Linked DNA regions of Caenorhabditis elegans. The protein of the gene in region 1 purifies or fractionates together with the protein of each later gene. This does not show direct contact. Each region holds a gene or a part of one and is shown on either strand. Other genes may lie near its edges.

Region 1 (7,196 bases):
TTTTTGAAGCCATTTTTCGAAACTTTTTCCAATTTCCGAAAAAAAAACGAACTAATAGTATTCAACACATTATGTGCCTCGTCGAGTACAATAACATTATCCTTTAATTCAATTCCCCATGCTTTTCGTGTTCCATCATGAAGCAAAACTTGATATGGAAGAAGAACAAGTTGACACTGTGGAACAGATTTTCTTGTAGCAAAATATGGGCATCCATTGGAAAGTTTTCCCTGTTTTGACACTTCAAGTGTACTTTTCAATTTGTTCGAGAGGACTCCATTCACTACATCTTCGATTTGTGTGGAATTGTAGAATTCGCATGAAGTCGCACAGGTTTTTGTCTTTTTCGTGGTTCCTTTCTCCAATTTCTGAACTTTTTCCTTTTCCGACATTCCGTTTTTTCGCAATTCCATACATTTTTCATTGATTAAATGATTTAATTTCAACTTTTTGACTTCTTCATTTACACATAATGTTCCTCGTGAGGCACATGTAACTATTCTGGGTTGAAATCTAGTTTTTGCGAGCTCCTCGGCAAGTTGCTCCAATTGAGAATGTGTTCGTGATGCGTAGAAAATCTGGAAAATTCAGAAAATTTCAAGACAGTTTGAATAAAAAATTATTGATTTTTCAGTTTTCAATTAAAAAAATTTTAATGCAGTTTTGAAAATTTACAAAAAAACCAAATTTTCATTTAAAAAAATTTGTTCGGTAAATTGAAAATTCTCCGACTTAATTTCGATTATTTTTTTCAGACAACTTTCATTAAAAAAAAAAAAGACGTATTACGGTAACACGAAACTCTGAGAATGCGTATTGGGCAACATATTTGACGCGCAAAATATCTCAAAGCGAAAACTACAGTAATCCTCTAAATTGCTGTTGTAGCTCCTGTGTCGATTTACAAAAACCTTTTATTTATTGATTTTTAAAAACGAAAAATTAAAGAAAATTGAGAGCCGTTGTAACTTTTTGAAAAGAAATTAATTTCAAAAATATTGCCCGTAAATCGACACAAGCGCTACAGTAGTCATCCAAAGGATTACTGTAGTTTTCGCGTCGGAATATTTTGCGCGTCAAATATGTTGCCCAATACGCATTCTAAGAATTTTTTGTTCCTGTAATAATATGACAGCTATATGCGACTTTTGAGATGAAAGTGCAATCGCGCTCCATAGCCAAATAAAAAATAAAAACGCTCTGCCCCCGAAACATGGGTCTCGTTAGGTATTGGCGGTAAAACCCAAGATTTTCCAATTTTTAATGATATACAGTTACTGTCACAAAAATGCTTGAAAAAGTTTGAATTGCACTTTCATTTGGCTATGGAGCGCGATTGCACTTTCCGAAATATTGAAATAAATTCTGTACTTTCAGACATTTCAGTGGCTTCTCCTCTTCTTCATCGACATCATCGAAAAAATCGGAATCCCGCTGTTTCTCACTTTTCTCGTCGTTATTGTATTCTTCCGATGGGGCGGCTTCCTGGAAATTTTATTTTGAATTTTGATATTTCTGTATTATTTCTATAATAGAAACTTCTAGAATAACATTTTCTTGAAAACCTGGCATATTCAATTTATGAAACTTCAAATTTGTAGCGACTACTGTGGCTGGGATCGTGGCGAGACCCACTCAGAAAACAGCGTGCGCCTTTAAAGTGAGGCATCAAGTGTCTATTCTATGTATTACTATGTAACTATTCTATTGTGTATCTATTCATATTGTGGAATCTATTCTATATCTATCTTGCTATATAATACTGTTAACATTTTTTCACATTTCTCAAAAAATTAGCAATACTGAAGGTTTGTATTTAAAAATTTGGAATTTTTGCGTATTTCAAGGTTTTTCCAGAAAAAAAAAGCCAGGTTCTAGTCAGAAATCTTGAAATTTTCCGAAAAAACGGTCAGCCACATGTGAATTTCCGGATAAAAGTTCAATTATTACATCTTGAGGTTCGAGAAACTGATCCGTATCCCTGGCCGGGGCTTTTCTCTTTCTGGAGACCTCGACCATTCCTCGCCGGGCTTGATCGATTCGTGACTGCAATCTGAATGATTTTTTTCATTTAAAAAAAAATTAAAAAAGAATAATTATTCAATTTCCAACACCTTTCCCGACTCTGAATTTGCTCCAAAATCTCCGTCTCTACGTCTTGAGCTCGCATTTTCTCACGAACTGCCGTCTCCCAATTGTCGGCGGTGGTGATTTTATCGCATTCCGTGATTTTCGTGTGAACCTCCCCGAGCCGTGTGCTCAAATCAGTCGAAATTCGTAGTTCTTCAGCTTCCAGCCACGTCATCGTCGAGCACAACACGCTGAGCGACTTTCCGGTGCCTGTTGGAGATTCGAAAATGCCAATTTTCCGTTGTTCAATGCATTGGCGGATTTCTCGCATCAAATTGAGTTGAATGTCGTATGGTTGAAATGGAAATGAGAATTCGTCCATTCTGCTGGGATAGAGTGAGAGATCATTTATTTCGGTGAGTTTTTTTTTTGTAATTGAAGAATAATATATAAGAAGATAAAAATATATTCGGGATTTTCAACTGGGAATTCGATTTTTAGCTGAGAGTTTAGAGAGCGGAAAAATTCATGAAACATTCACAATAAGTCAAATAGGACCCAAAGCGATTTTCACGCCAAAAATACGGTGCCTGGTCTCGCAACGAAACATGTTTGTTAAACGCGAAAATTTGTGCGCCTTTAAAGAGTACTGTAGCTTCAAACTTTTGCTATTGCGGATTTTCGTCGATTTTTCGTAGATCACAATCAAAACCCAAAAAAACTTTAACAAATGCTGGGAAAAACTATGAAAACCTGATAAAAATCGTTAAAGGCGCACACTTTTTCGCATTTATCATACATTTTTCTCTTCGAGACCGGATACCGTACTTTTGGCGCAAAATTTCGCGTATGGGTAATAACGGCAAGGGAATTTTGCAAATTTACAGCAAATTTAGACGAATTTCGTGGTAATTAGCTTTAAAAAAAATACAAAAATCCCACATGTAATTTCAAATTAAAATAAGATACAGATACAACGATTAAAAAATGCTTGGATGCTGCTCAATTCGATCAATAGTTTTTTGATAGGCCTCCATAAGCCGATCATAATTCTGTGAGAGCGTCGAGAACTTGGTTTCCTCATCCATTTGTCCACAGGCCGCTTGTCGAAGCTCATCGGGTGTCAACGCGAGATTCAGACGCTTCCAGTCCTGATCCGATTTCTTCATTGGTGCATACAACCGACGTTTCACATCGATTCTCTGCGCTTTCAGCTCTTCTTTATCCTTCTTATTTGTAGCACGATAACGCAAAATTTCATAGACTCGACGGGCTTGTTGTCTGGAAATCTTGAGCTTTTCCAGTGCGGCCTGACGCATTTTGTCCGAGTATCCCCTCTTGAGATTCTCCGGTGCAAATTCCCGCAGTGTCATGCAGTTGACACAATCCACATAGTCACGGAGGCTGACGAACTGATCTCCGGGAGACTCGACGGTTACGTCGAAAACTTCTGGAGAGGCACGAAGATCTCGCAGGAAAGATTCCATGAAACTGGCTCCAATTCCAGATTTTCTGTATTGAGGGAGCAATAGCATCTGTGCAATTCGTGGACGGATCCTGTCAATGTAGTTGTAGAATTTGAAGAGTGTCGCGTAGCCAGCCACGTTGGCCACAGTACTTCCATCTCCTTCACCGGTGTCGCAGCGTTCGTAGCTGGAAAATTGAAAAATATTTGAAATGCGTTCGATTTTTTGTAATTTCTGGAATTCGCCGCGAAATCTTCTCAACTTACATAAAATAGTGAAGCCAATTGTCTTCAGTGTTATCTGTCAGTGAGCAGCACTCGATGAAGCTGAAAAAAAAATTTTGTAGGAAAATCCTTATTTTTTAAGCACTCACAACATGCCGAGAGTCTGGATTCTTTCTAGGAAAAGGTTGAACTCTTCGGTTTGCTCGGCGACTTTGTAGACCTCGTAGCTCTTTCCTTTCAGCTCAAACTTGTGTACCATCTCACCGAAAGGCTTGAAATCCTTCTGTTTGATGAGCTTCTGCTGGAATTCTTCTTTTCCCGAAACCAGAACATTCGGACGAACGTCTGGATGAACCAGCTTATCAATGACGTCATCGGCCTCCAGTCCGTTTTCGTTTTTCGCTTTTGAGGAATAGCTCACGTTTATGTAGCTGTAGAGGGTTTGAGCTGTGTGATGGATGGTAACCTCGAGATCTTCGTAGCCGAAGATTGTCTCCTCATCTCCGAAATGCTGATAGACCATCTCTGGTTCGTAGCGTGGCGCAGTACTGATTTCTTGCATGTTTTTTACTGAAAAATGGGAACTTTCAAGCGAAAATTCGGTTAAACTCTTACAAAATGTCATTTTAACGACAGCAAGTCCGTCGGAAATGTATCTCCGATTGCGATTGACATTCGTGACGTCCTCCATAACCATGCTGAAACTGTTAAAGAGTTGAAAACGCCATTGAACCTTGAAAATCGCGAAACAAGACGATATTTAATCAATTTATTTACCGATTTTGCGTGGAAAATGAGAAAAAATGAAGGAATTCCGACGAAAATAAAAGAATAAAATTTAAAAAAGTTTCCCGCGGGCTTTCTCACTTCGTAAATCGACACAAAAGTGTCTCTTCGCGGCGAGACCCGTTGACTTTCGCAACCTCTCATAAGAGATGGCGTTCTCTCCGACTGTCTGAGTGTCGCGCGTCTCTCACGGCCACACACTCTCTCGTCGCGCTTTTTTCGAAATACGCCGTGCGAGTTGGCACGTTGCCAGGGATCTTCTGATGGATCCGTGCTGTTTTTCACGCCTCCGGGTGAATTTTTATCGATTTTTCAGAAATTTTTCGCTTATCTCCCGGAATTTTCATCCCAAAACGGATAAATTGATTGATCAAGTTGATTCGTGAAGTTTAGTTGCATCATAAAAATTATAAACAAACAAAAATATCGAATTTCAAGCGTTTTCCCCGTAAAATGTCTCATTTTTATTGTGAAAAATGGCGCAAAACCGCATTATTTTGCTCTAATTGCCCGGGTTTCGCGGTTTTCTCACGATAATTAGATAAAAAAGAGTTAATTTCCATAGTTCGGCGGATTTTCGAGAATTTTTGTTGTTTTGTTCAATTAAAACTTTGTTAAAATCAGAAATTAAGTTTTTTAAAACTCGTTGTGAGATTTTTCATCGCAAAATTTATAAATTTTTCCTATTTATATAAAAGTTTTGCTATTTTACCATTTTTCCGTTATATTTTTGTTGAAAACAACCAAATTTCATTGGAATTTTTTGAAAAATATCAAAAAGAATTGGTTTTTTCAACGGTTTTAATGTAAAAATATTTTTTTTCAATCGAATTTTCTCTCACAAATCCGCTCAAAATTGTCAAAAATCATTTTTAAAAAATCGAATTTTCAGAAGATTCCAAGCAACAAGTTGATGGGAAGACCATCAAATAATGCATGAGCGTTCGACAAGAACAGGTAAATTAAATTCCACTGAAAATTTCTGAAATTTCACGGATTTTCCATGTGAAATGTCCTCTAATCCATATCAGAATTGAAGGAAAACCTCGGACCAACAACGTTTTCAAATACGAGCAACATCAGCAGAAGTATCCCATCGGATTGTATGGTGATAATAGGTGGCACAATTCCTGCCTCACATCACTCGTTCCCTGGTATGGAACATGATCGTTCATTGTTCGATGCGTCGTCTTCTTCTTCAAATGGAGGAGGATTATCGCAATTTGTTGAGCAACGTGATACAAATGACGATGAACGAGAGATTGAGGTAAAAAATTGGCGTTTTTTAACCCTAGAAACTGGATTTCTAACTGATTTTGTGGAGAAATAAAATAAAAATTAAATTTTAAGTTAGTTTTGTTGAAAAAATGGATTAAAAAAGGTTTTAATCTAATTTTGTCCAAAAAATCTAAAAACATGATTTCCAACCAATTTTGTCAAAAAAAAAGAATTTTAAAAATGATTTTAACCTAATTTCTCGATAAAATGTATCAAAACATGATTTTAATTTAATTTAGTCGAAAAAATATATTAGAAACATGTTTTGAAACTAATTTTTCCATTAAATAGATTTTTAAAAACGATTTTGTAAAAAAAACTTATTAAAAACATGTATGAATGCACATTTTAATCGATTTTCCTATTGTTTTTCTCAATTTCTCAATTTTCAGGCCGCCGCTGCAGCGTCAGAAGCTCAACTAAAGTCATCATTTGTCGCATCGACGTCTGTCGGTGTTCCAACCAGTCAAACACTCTCTCCGTTACACATAAATGTCAACGAGTACACGAAGCCGAATTTGGTGAGTTTTTTGTGAAAAATCTCGAAAACTTGCTCAATTTCAGCTTTTTAGGCGACTTCTCTTGAAAAACTATGAAAAAATTCATAATTTTCCAACAATATCTGTAAAAATAGATTAAAATTGAATATTTGATAATTTTTTTCGGAGAAAATTTTAAAAATTGCGAAAATTCATGGAAAACCTGTAGAATTTTAAAAATCGAGGTTTTTAATAATAAAAATGACTGAAACTCTGAAAATTTCATTATTTTCTGTAGATATCTGCACGAATAGGTTAAAAAAAGGATTTTTCTTGATTTTTAGAGTAAAAACGTTGACAAATTTCGACATTTTCATGATGAAAATTGAATTTCGAAGTTTTTGGTGAAAATCATTTAAAAAATGGCTGAAAAAATATCAAGAGAATACCTGAGAAATCCTTTTTTTTAAATTAAAGCCGTATTTCAAAATTTAAACCGGCTGTTCGTGAATTCTCATTAATTTCCAGACCTCAACAAATTTCCGCGACTCTGAACAACCATCAAGCAATGGATCCCACGGCGGTACAACAGCACGAAAAAAACCTTATCCACAACCGACAATTCGTGTGGCTCAGCGAGCACCAATTATCATGGGACCGCCGAGTAACACGAATACGCAGGTGCTGTTGAGTCCTGCTGGAAATTTGCATAATGGATATCAGTGAGTTTTTTTTTTCAAAAAAAAAATAGCCGTTTTGTTGCGGAAATGTTTAAAAAAGTGCCAAAAGTGTCGACAGTAATTTCAAAAAAAATTTTGATTTTTTGGAAAAGCTTTCGATTTTCTATATTTTACATTAAATTCCACAAAATCCGCTGATTTCTGAAAAAATGT
Region 2 (9,556 bases), 300 kb from region 1:
TTGTTCAAATATGTTCACTTTAATTTGAGAACTTTTTAAGCATAAATTTTTTGCAGTTTTTTTTAATAGAAAATTTCAATGTTTAGAAAACTTCGAATTCTCCAAAAAAAAACATTTTTTAAAGGATTTTTTTTTTTTTTAAATCATCGTTATTTCAGTTTTTACAGCATTTTTTGTTAAAAAAAAAATAGTTTTTACAAAATTTTTTTAATTGAAAATTTTTTATCTTTTTGTTTAGAGATTGTTTTTTAAAATTATTATTTTTACATTTTTGGGGTTTTTTTTCTATTTTTTGTTCATTTTTCAAATTTCCTTGCGATCCTGCACACTTTTTCAAACAAAATCAGTAAAATGATGTAATAATCAGTTTTATTCGATTTTTTAAATTTACAGTGAGGTTTTAATTTTTTAACCATAAATTTGAAAAAAAATTTAGATTTTTTTCAATATTTTTTCTAAAAAAATGTATTACATTTTTTTTCAACTTTCTTTTTGGCAAAATTCGAAAAAAAAATTATTTTTGTAATGACTTTTTTTCGTTTTGAGGTCCAATATCCGGGTTTTTTTTTTGATGAAAATTAATTTTTCAGCCAATTCTTACCAATTTCCATGCATCATTCTCTGGTAACGGGAATCGACACGCAAGAAGATTTGTGTTTGATCGCATTTCACTGAGTTTTGGAACCAAATCACCCATTAAACTCTCGGCTCCAAAGATAACTGCGGTTTGATATGGATTGAGATCAGTTTTGAAGATATTCTTGCGCATAAATCTGAAATTTATTTTTATTTTTAAAGATTTAGGTTTTCTAAAAATGTAAATTTTTTAAATGTTTTCCAAAAAACTTCTTTTTTTTCTGAAAAATTTCAATAAAATTCAGGTCTCAATCAATTTAAAATAGCATTGAAATTGAGTTTTGCGCAAATTCGAATAAAAATTAAAAATTATTAATTTTGAAATTAATAAAATTAATAATAATTAATTTTAATTCGAATTTTTCGCAAAAAAGTCAATTTTTTATAAATTTGAATTAAAACTTAATTTTTTTTTTCGAATTTCGCAGGATTTTTAAGGACTTTTTTAAAGTAAAATTCCAATAAAAATCTTTTTTAAATTATTATTTTAAAATTAATTTTTGTTCGAATTTTTTAAAATTTTTATTCGAATTTTGCACAAAAAGTCCTTTTTACATTTTAAATAAATTTTTAAAAAGTTTTTTTTTTGGATTAAAACTTAGATTTTATTCGAATTTCGCAGAAATTTCAAGCGGATTTTCGAAAATTGAAATTCCGAATTGTTTTTTGGAATTTTTTCGAATTTCTAGGATCTTACAGAATTTTCAAAAACATTTCTGAAAATTTTGTGCACATTTTTTTTGAGTGAATGCTCAAAAAAAAGGAATTTCTAGAGTATTTCAAATTTTTTTTTTGGAATTTTTAGAAATTTCTGATTTTAAGCTGAAAAATAACCTAGTTTCTTTGCCCAATCCCTCCCTTATTGAACGGTATTTTGAATAGGCGACGAGGATCGAATTCAGTTCCACTCCCGTGCTGTTGAACCCTTCCCTGGCACATTGAAGCACCTGTAAATGCTCATTTTAGTCAGTTTTTAGTCTATTTACTACGTTAGTAACTGCAATCAAACACACATATTATCTTCTTTAATACACAATTTATTATATATATATATATCAACTCTCTAAAAATCTTTTAAAAAAATTGCGAAAACATTGAAAAACAACTCGGAGAAAGAGGGACTAGAAACATGAAAGTGACGTCATTGATGAGCACTAAAGCTTTGTGGCGGGGACGATGGAATGAAAAAATGGAATGGCGTGTTTTTGGGTTGAGAAATTGGAGGAAATGATGCGATTGTGCTCTATCGCACAAATTTCAGGATCTCAAAGCGTTTTTGCTACAAGCTACAGAAATATCACAAAGAAACTGAAAAAAAGTTGCGATGTAAAAAATATATATAAATAGATTTTTCAAAATTTCTGTTTCAGACCACCAGCGCATCGCTCCGCCCATTTTTGAACCAATCAGATAGAGTGGGCGGAGTTCGAAGACGCTGATTGGTTCAAGAGTGGGCGGAACGAATCGCTGATCGGCCTGAAACAGAGAAATTGGCACAGATGCAAAATTTCGCGATTTTTCTCGTTTTTTTCTATTTTTTTATTATTATTTTTTCGGAAATTCAAATTTTCTGACATATTGTTTTTTTTCACGATTTTTTTTTAAGTCAAGAAAACCCCCGAAAAAAGTCGTGCAACAGAGCAAAATTGCATTAGCCTCAAGTTAGACTCCGCCCATTTACTGGCAAATATGTCGCGTGGAATTTCAAAAAATTTGCATTTTTGTAATTTTTCAATTTCCGATTTTCCAGCAATTTCCAACACTGAAAAAGCTCAAAATTATATAAAACTTAAAAATTTCAATTCCGCGCGGCAGACTTGCCAATAAGTGGGCGTGGCCTGCCAGCTATTTCCCACCCAGAAAAACCCTGATAATTGGGGGAAAACAACAACAGATATTTGAAAAAAAAAGTAATAACCGAAAAAAAATTGTGTTAAGTGAACCGTGCACACGCTGGGGGAAGGGGAAAGGGGACGGGTAGGCCTTCCACGTAGGCATAAATACCTACACGCCTGCCTACAAAAGGTGAGCAGGCAGGCAGGCAGACATTTTTGCTCACATAGAGGCTCTAGAGGTCAATGTGACCTATTTAAAAGAGGCTTAGGGGCAGAAAATAGGGAAATTTCCGAAGTAACACGAGAAAACATCTACGAAAACTAGATCTATGATTTCAGTATAGTTTCCGTGTAGCCTCGAAAACTCCTGATATTTTGCCCGCTAAACCTCCCGATTAGGTGTTAGTAGTGTCGATGAAAGTAGTAGTGACGACCGGAGCAGCGGCAATCATCCGATTGAACCGATTCTTACGAAGAAGCTGTCTTGAGGCCTTCGCCGACTTCTTCTGCTTCTTGACACGCTCCATGAGATCCTGTCCGCGATGCGTGACCCCATCCATTTGATCCATTTTCGATAGCAGTGACTCCAAATCTCCTTTTCGAATCGGCTTCACCGAGATATCACGCACCGCGCGGAATTGACCACAATTGTTGACATGCTCATTTTCAAGTCGGAAATAGTTCCAGATAAACCGACGGAACACTTCGAATGGTGCGGTTACTGTCGTCAAAAAGTCCGAGTCAAGAGTCCAAGCTTCTCCGAGCGAGACGTTGAGCACCCAAGCCAATCGGAGCACAAAATCCTGAGCGATAGCCATATAGTAATACCATTTACTACCATAGATCATTTCTTCACGCAAGAATCTTGCCTCCTTTGGAGCCCTTGGATCGATTAATCCCCAATCCATGAAGATATCCCAAAGGAAGGTGTAGGTAAAGGACATTATATAGGACAGAATCCAAATGTAGAAAAAGATCGAAGTGGTGTTAGGATCCGTAGCCTCGTAGTACTTGTTCAGGGCTCCACAGGCAACTACAAAGAAGGTCGTGGAATACTTTCCAGCATTCACTAAATGTGGATGTACTCGTTTTGTATCTCTATAACGTCTGAGGCACTGCAGAAAACGGATCATTGCCGGAATTATCGACATGAGGGACCGAAGACCTGCGGCAGAAGCACATTGATCCTTTCCATTCGACAACTCGACACTTCCCCAGGGAACCGATCCAGTGGTAGAGTTGATTCCCTTCACTTCAATCCACCCATTCGAGTAGTCAACTTCTGTAGCGTAAAAGCACACAAAGTACTGAAAGTCTAGGAATGCGGTGGTCAGTGAGTTCATTTGATCTCCAAGCCAGAAATCGGTGAATGTGACGAAATGGAATGGTGATGTGAAGCACTTGTAGCAATGTTTCAGAAGCCAGAATCGAGAATTTCTGTGGAATACCGAGTCGGGTTTGGCGATTGGATTCAGAAGAAGAATCAGACAAACCACCATTAGTGCTAATGGAGGTGCGAATGGTGGAATATGGAGCATATGAGCATATAGATAGGCGAGAACTGCAAAAGACCACAGCATAATCATAAAGGATGCGATTTGCATCAGAGTTTGATATGAGAGATGATTCCTGGGATCTACTTCAAAGATCAGAACGTGATTGACTCCAGCAGCAGCCCAACCAGCCATATTCACACCACAAAGGAAGATTGATAGGAAGAGAAGTAGTGGTCCTCGGAATAAACGAACGGCTACCCATTTTGGTTCTTGAGGTCGTGCTGGGGAGGCGATCCATGTTAGAAGTATTGCAAGGAGCAGGATGATGCTCGCACCGATGAAGAGGCCCAGGGAGAAGGTGGTGAGAGGCTTCTGCTTCTCCGAGAGTGGTGGTACCTGGAAAATTCGATTTTTTCTTCATTCCGGTTTTTTTTTAAATTTTATTTTAGTTTCTAAGTAAATTTTTTATTTGAAATTCACATTTTTTAAAGAAATTTTTATTCGGAAAAAACTGAATATTTTTTTATTTTATTTTTAATTTTTGAAAGATTCGAGTGTTTTTCTCGAATTTTTCGATTTAAAAAAAATTAATTTCCTTACTATTTTAAAAATTTATTCGATTTTAGATCAAATATTGATAATTTTCTAGGTTTTCAATTTTTTTAAAAATTATTTCAACGATTTCAGTCAGGTTTTTGTATTTTCTTTTTTTTTTAAACAAAAATTGAAAATATCACAATTTTTCCCTGGAAATTTTTATTTTGATTAGAAATTTTTTTTTCAGAAAAAATTCATTTTATTGAAATTTTTTATTATTTATTTTCAAAAAAACTTAAAACTACTATTCAGCATTTTCTTAGATTTTTTTTCAAAAAATCTCCGAAAAAAAAAACTGAAAATCGCTCGAAAATTCAATTTTTCATTGGGTTTTCTAAAGTTAATTCTGTTTCGTATAAAATAATCAATTTTCCAATTTTTTCAGCGAAATTTCGAACCTTAAGCCTCTTCATTCCAGCTTGTCGATTTCCAGCCTCCAAATCATTAATTACACTGGTTTCCACATTTGTGATCAGAGTTTCAATTTCTCGATTCAAGAAAAACGACGATTTTTCCACTTTATTAATCCGCCAGTCGAGTCCTCGTTCGTTGCCAGTGAGCTTGTCGTGTTTCTTTAAAATCTTCCGAAATCCGGTAGCATTCAATTGCTGAAAGTTCTGAACCAGCACCAGAGAAAGATAAAACTCGGAGAATGCGAGTTTCAGCTGCTGCTCATTCCGTGTGGTCTCCTTATGGAATTTGTCTTTTCCTCCGAACCTTCTACGGATCCCTGTGGTATCGCTGCGAGACCCAAGAACATCCTTGAACACTTGTAGTTCGGTTTGAAGCTCGTGATGTTTTCCCTGTCCTTCAGCGATTTTTTGCGAGAAGAATAGGTTGATCTTGGTGAGCTCTTGGTCGCACTCGTTGAAAAATTTCTCGTCGAGCCGGGAAATGTGCTCTTCTCGGCGGTCATCGTCGGCGGGAACCTCCATCATATCATCGTATAATAGATTTTTGAGCCGCTCATAGTCAATGTATTGTTTCCGCCACTCGGGCGTCAAGTGGCTCGCTAGTTGCTCGCCGAACTTCATCTAAAATCGGGAAAATGGGAATAACTTACAACACGGCCATCGCCGGAGCCTAAATCAATGAGCGTTCCCTTCTTGTTGCTGTTGCTGCTCGTGGCGAGTGAAAGTGCGCGGGAGACGTTCGCGAGCTGCTCCGTCGTTGCTGGGACGTACGGAATGCAGACGCGTCGCAGAGCGGGCGCCACGAACGGAATTGCGGCCGCCGAGATGGCGAGCGCCGTTGCGCCAGCCACACCGGCAATCACCAGACCTGTGTTCATGCCCATACTGCAAAAAAACACAATCTCGAGGGGAACACTCATTGATTTAAATCATGATTTTTTATTTGTTTTAAAATTTATTATTTTTAAGTTTAAATTATCTTTATTTTTCAAAGGATTATTGTTTTTGAATATTTAAAATTAAAATTCATACCCACCTTTATTCTTCAATCGATTTTCTTCGGAATAAGATGAAGTTTCTCATCAACGATTCAAATTTTCTACCTGAAAACAGAAAAAAAATGTTTAAAACGATTTTCAGGCCTAAAACAGTGCAAAACACTGGAAATATATCGATTTACGCATAAATTGCACTCGACAGAATCAAAATTTAAATTCGTACTTTTCGCGAAAAAGAGATAGACAACGAAATTCGATAAGGGCACATGCGACTAAAAATCGGGAGCTCAGTGCACCGGAAGTGCGCAAGCAGTTGATGATTGCGCAAACGAGTGGCTACTGGCGCGTTTTCGGATGGGTCGGATTTATTTTCTGCAATTTCTGTGCGATTTTTATTAATTTTTTGCGTTTCCCACCGTATTTTCCAACCAAATTTCTGAATTTTTATATAAAATTGTCGTAATTTGCATGGTTCCGACGTTGAAAATCACCAAAACCCAGGTTAAAATTCGTTTTTTAAAAAGGGGGTTTACTTTATAAAGATATGCAATTTTGGAATTTCAGTTTTGCTAATTTTTCGTGGTTTCTTAGAGTTTTTCTATTGAAGATTGTTAAAGATCTTGTAAAGAAGATGTTAAGTCGGTAAACATTGCAAAACTTTTAATTTTCCTCAATTTTCGCTAATTTTTTGCGTTTCTTTATGATTTTTATTTTAAAATTAGGTTTTTCGGGTATCGATTTGTTAATTTTTTAGCTAAAAATATATTACATAAACAAAAGTTTCTTCAAACTTATATTTCTCTCTTATTCCGATTAAAAACTAAATTACCTTTCAACTTCCAGGTAAATATGTTGTCCAGAACACTCCGACCGATCTCCAAGGTGCTCAGAAGCAGCGCGAAGTACTCCCAGGCCGCAGGTAATCTGAAAATTAAGATTTTCCTCAAAATCATATCAAAATTTTCAGGTCTTCCATTAAACGAGGGAAGCCCGGCACCATTGCCATCAGAAGACAGAGCAATCTCCGCAAAAGTCAGCTCGTTGGTTGAAGAAATCGCGAATCTCAGCCTGCTCGACGTCTCCGATCTTAACTGGGCTCTCAAGAAGCGGCTCAACATTCCAGATCAACCATTGATGGCTGCTGCCGCTGCTGCTCCAGCCGCTCAGGGTAAACATTATTTATTATAGTTTAATAAAATTATTTATTTATTTTCATTATTTTTCAGCCGAAGCGGAAGCCGCATCAGACGTTCCACAAAAAATGACATTCACTGTGAAATTAACGAAATTCGATGATACCAAGAAGATCGCAATCATCAAGGAGATCCGTAACGCCATTCCAGGCCTCAATCTCGTTCAGGCCAAGAAGTTTGTGGAAACCGCACCGGTAAATGTTAAGGAGGATCTTGGAAAGGCAGAAGCCGATGAGTTGAAGGCTATTCTGGAGAAGGCTGGAGCTACCATTGAAATTGTTTAATTTTTTGTTCTATATTTCCCTCTTTTCATTTGTTGTGTTCTCATTTTCTTCAAATTTTTCGTAGATAGTGTAGCATTTCTTTTTGTTAAGTTTTATTTTATTTTATGGAAAAATAATTAATTTCAAAAATAATTAAATTTACACCCGGCAAGAAGAGAAATACACGTCCCATGATAGAAATACTATTGGATAGATTCTGGAGAAGCTGCTGGAGAAGATCAAAAATCGGTAGTCTCATTTGAAGAAGTGTCAAGACCTGCAATTTGGGAAAATTACCGGAAGCCTGTATGGGTACAAACCTCCGCGTCCGAATACTTTCAGCGACATTCCGAATTGAAGAACTCGCATATCCTTTTCGGATAATTGGCCGAACGAGATCGCGTGGTCGGAACATTTTCCGGCTTTTGTGGGACTTGAACGGAACAATTTCGAGTCTGGCGCAATTATTTGTTTTGGTGGAAGATCGTTGAATAGTCGGAGAGCATCTTCATCAAATGGATCAGCTATCTGGACACCGTACTTCTCGCTGCAGTCGTAGAGAGCGAAATCCGAGGCTCGCGAGAAGAAAAATCCTCTGAAAATCATGAAATCAAACATTTTTAGAATTTATTCGGGAGTTTTCCAGAAGTAATTCTCTGATTTTCGATTTTTTAGTCTTCAAAAACTTTCGGTAATTTTGCAAATTAAATTTGTTACACTGATGCAAAACTTTGCGATATTTGCCCCAGAATTACGGTACCCGGTCTTGATACGACATTTTTTTGCTAATGTTGAAAGGTCTGCGCCTTTAAAGATTAGTGAAATTTCAAACTTGTGCTGCTGTGGAGTTTTATCGCTTTTTCATTGTTTTCTGCTGATTTATTTTTTAAACATACATATTAACAATCGTGAGAAAAACTATGAAAATAAATGATTTTAATGAAAATTCCACGGAAACCAAAGTTTTCAATTACAGTACTCTTTAAAGGCGCACATATTTTCGCATATGACCAAAATTTGTCGTGTCGAGACCAGGTACCGTATTTTTAGCGCAATATTTCGCGACTCGAAAATCCAAGTAAATAGTATTTTATTAAAATTTGATACACAAGGTGTAGGGTTCCCAGAAATTTAATTATTTTTGCGCGTCAAATTCGCTGTATTGGGTACGTAGCACTAAAAAAAATCTTACTTGCAAGCAGAAAGCTTATCAATTGCTGGATTTGATAGCACAACTCCACCACGAACGGAAATCTTCTTGAAGCTGCTCAGCGGGAAGAGCCAAGAGAATAATGTGCTGGAAAATTGCTGGTTTTTTGGAAAAGCTCGGCCACTGATTTAAATATTACGGGAAAACTAAATTCTGGGAATGCATATTACGCAACACATTTGACGCGCAAAATATAAATATATCTCGCAGCGAAAACTACAGTAATTCATTAAATGACTACTGTAGCGCTTGTGTCGATTTACGGGCCCACTTACTGTAGTTTTCGCAATGAGATATATTTATATTTTGCGCGTCAAATATGTTGCGCAATACGCATTCTCAGATATTACGGGAACGCAAAATTCTAACCTAGTATCCTTCACTTTTCCAAGAACAACTGGTTTTTCAGAATCAAAATTTCTCAGAGTATTTCGAAGATTTGGAACTATCAAATAAGTCTGATCATCGCCCAAAAATGTCCATTGAGCCGGGACTTTTGACGAGAATTCCATTGCATATAAATAATATGTCCAGTAGAAATGGTTAAGGCTGGAATCCACGTGGTACATTGTATAGTTATCTGTAAATTTGAAATTTGAAATTAAAAAGTGCAACAGAGCGCGATTTCGGCCCCGACTCACTTTGAAATTTCTGAAACTTATCGAATAATTTCTGATTATTCGTGAAGAATATCGTCTCCTGACACAGTTTTGCGTACCCATCTGTGATTGCGGATATTATATTTTCTGGCTTCTGTAATACATCGAATTTCACGCACAAATTTTTAATTTTTGGCGACTTACGTGGGTAGCCTTGTGGAGAATGATAACACAACGGAGATTAAAGGATTCCGGTTTTGGTGTGGATTTTTCTGGAAAAGATGAAATTGAATCACAAATTTCAAATAAAAAATGT

The links.
Region 2: the proteins of hat-1 (region 1) and Y39A1A.22 fractionate together in Caenorhabditis elegans (co-fractionation; one large-scale study listed by BioGRID). This does not show direct contact.

What each region holds. Positions count from the first base shown.
Region 1 is NC_003281.10:10,402,785-10,409,980, forward strand, and holds hat-1 (Histone acetyltransferase type B catalytic subunit), read right to left. Parts: upstream 4,465-7,196; 5' UTR 4,458-4,464; coding exon 4,376-4,457; intron 4,331-4,375; coding exon 3,910-4,330; intron 3,863-3,909; coding exon 3,803-3,862; intron 3,724-3,802; coding exon 3,051-3,723; 3' UTR 2,464-3,050; downstream 1-2,463. Other genes in the region: ATP-dependent DNA helicase chl-1, read right to left, coding at 53-578, 1,372-1,485, 1,951-2,053, 2,115-2,452; M03C11.3 (PH domain-containing protein), read left to right, coding at 5,479-5,503, 5,578-5,813, 6,217-6,345, 6,832-7,025.
Region 2 is NC_003281.10:10,700,943-10,710,498, forward strand, and holds Y39A1A.22 (Xenotropic and polytropic retrovirus receptor 1 homolog), read right to left. Parts: upstream 6,087-9,556; 5' UTR 6,014-6,086; intron 5,863-6,013; exon of another isoform or gene 5,862-5,862; coding exon of another isoform or gene 5,628-5,861; intron 5,599-5,627; coding exon 4,963-5,598; intron 4,364-4,962; coding exon 2,867-4,363; 3' UTR 1,671-2,866; downstream 1-1,670. Other genes in the region: Y39A1A.21 (ATP synthase subunit C lysine N-methyltransferase), read right to left, coding at 602-773, 1,471-1,583, 5,628-5,861; mrpl-12 (Mitochondrial Ribosomal Protein, Large), read left to right, coding at 6,825-6,894, 6,943-7,143, 7,202-7,452; W09D10.5 (N-acetylgalactosaminide beta-1,3-galactosyltransferase), read right to left, coding at 7,671-7,708, 7,752-8,026, 8,624-8,728, 9,011-9,221, 9,283-9,394, 9,445-9,512.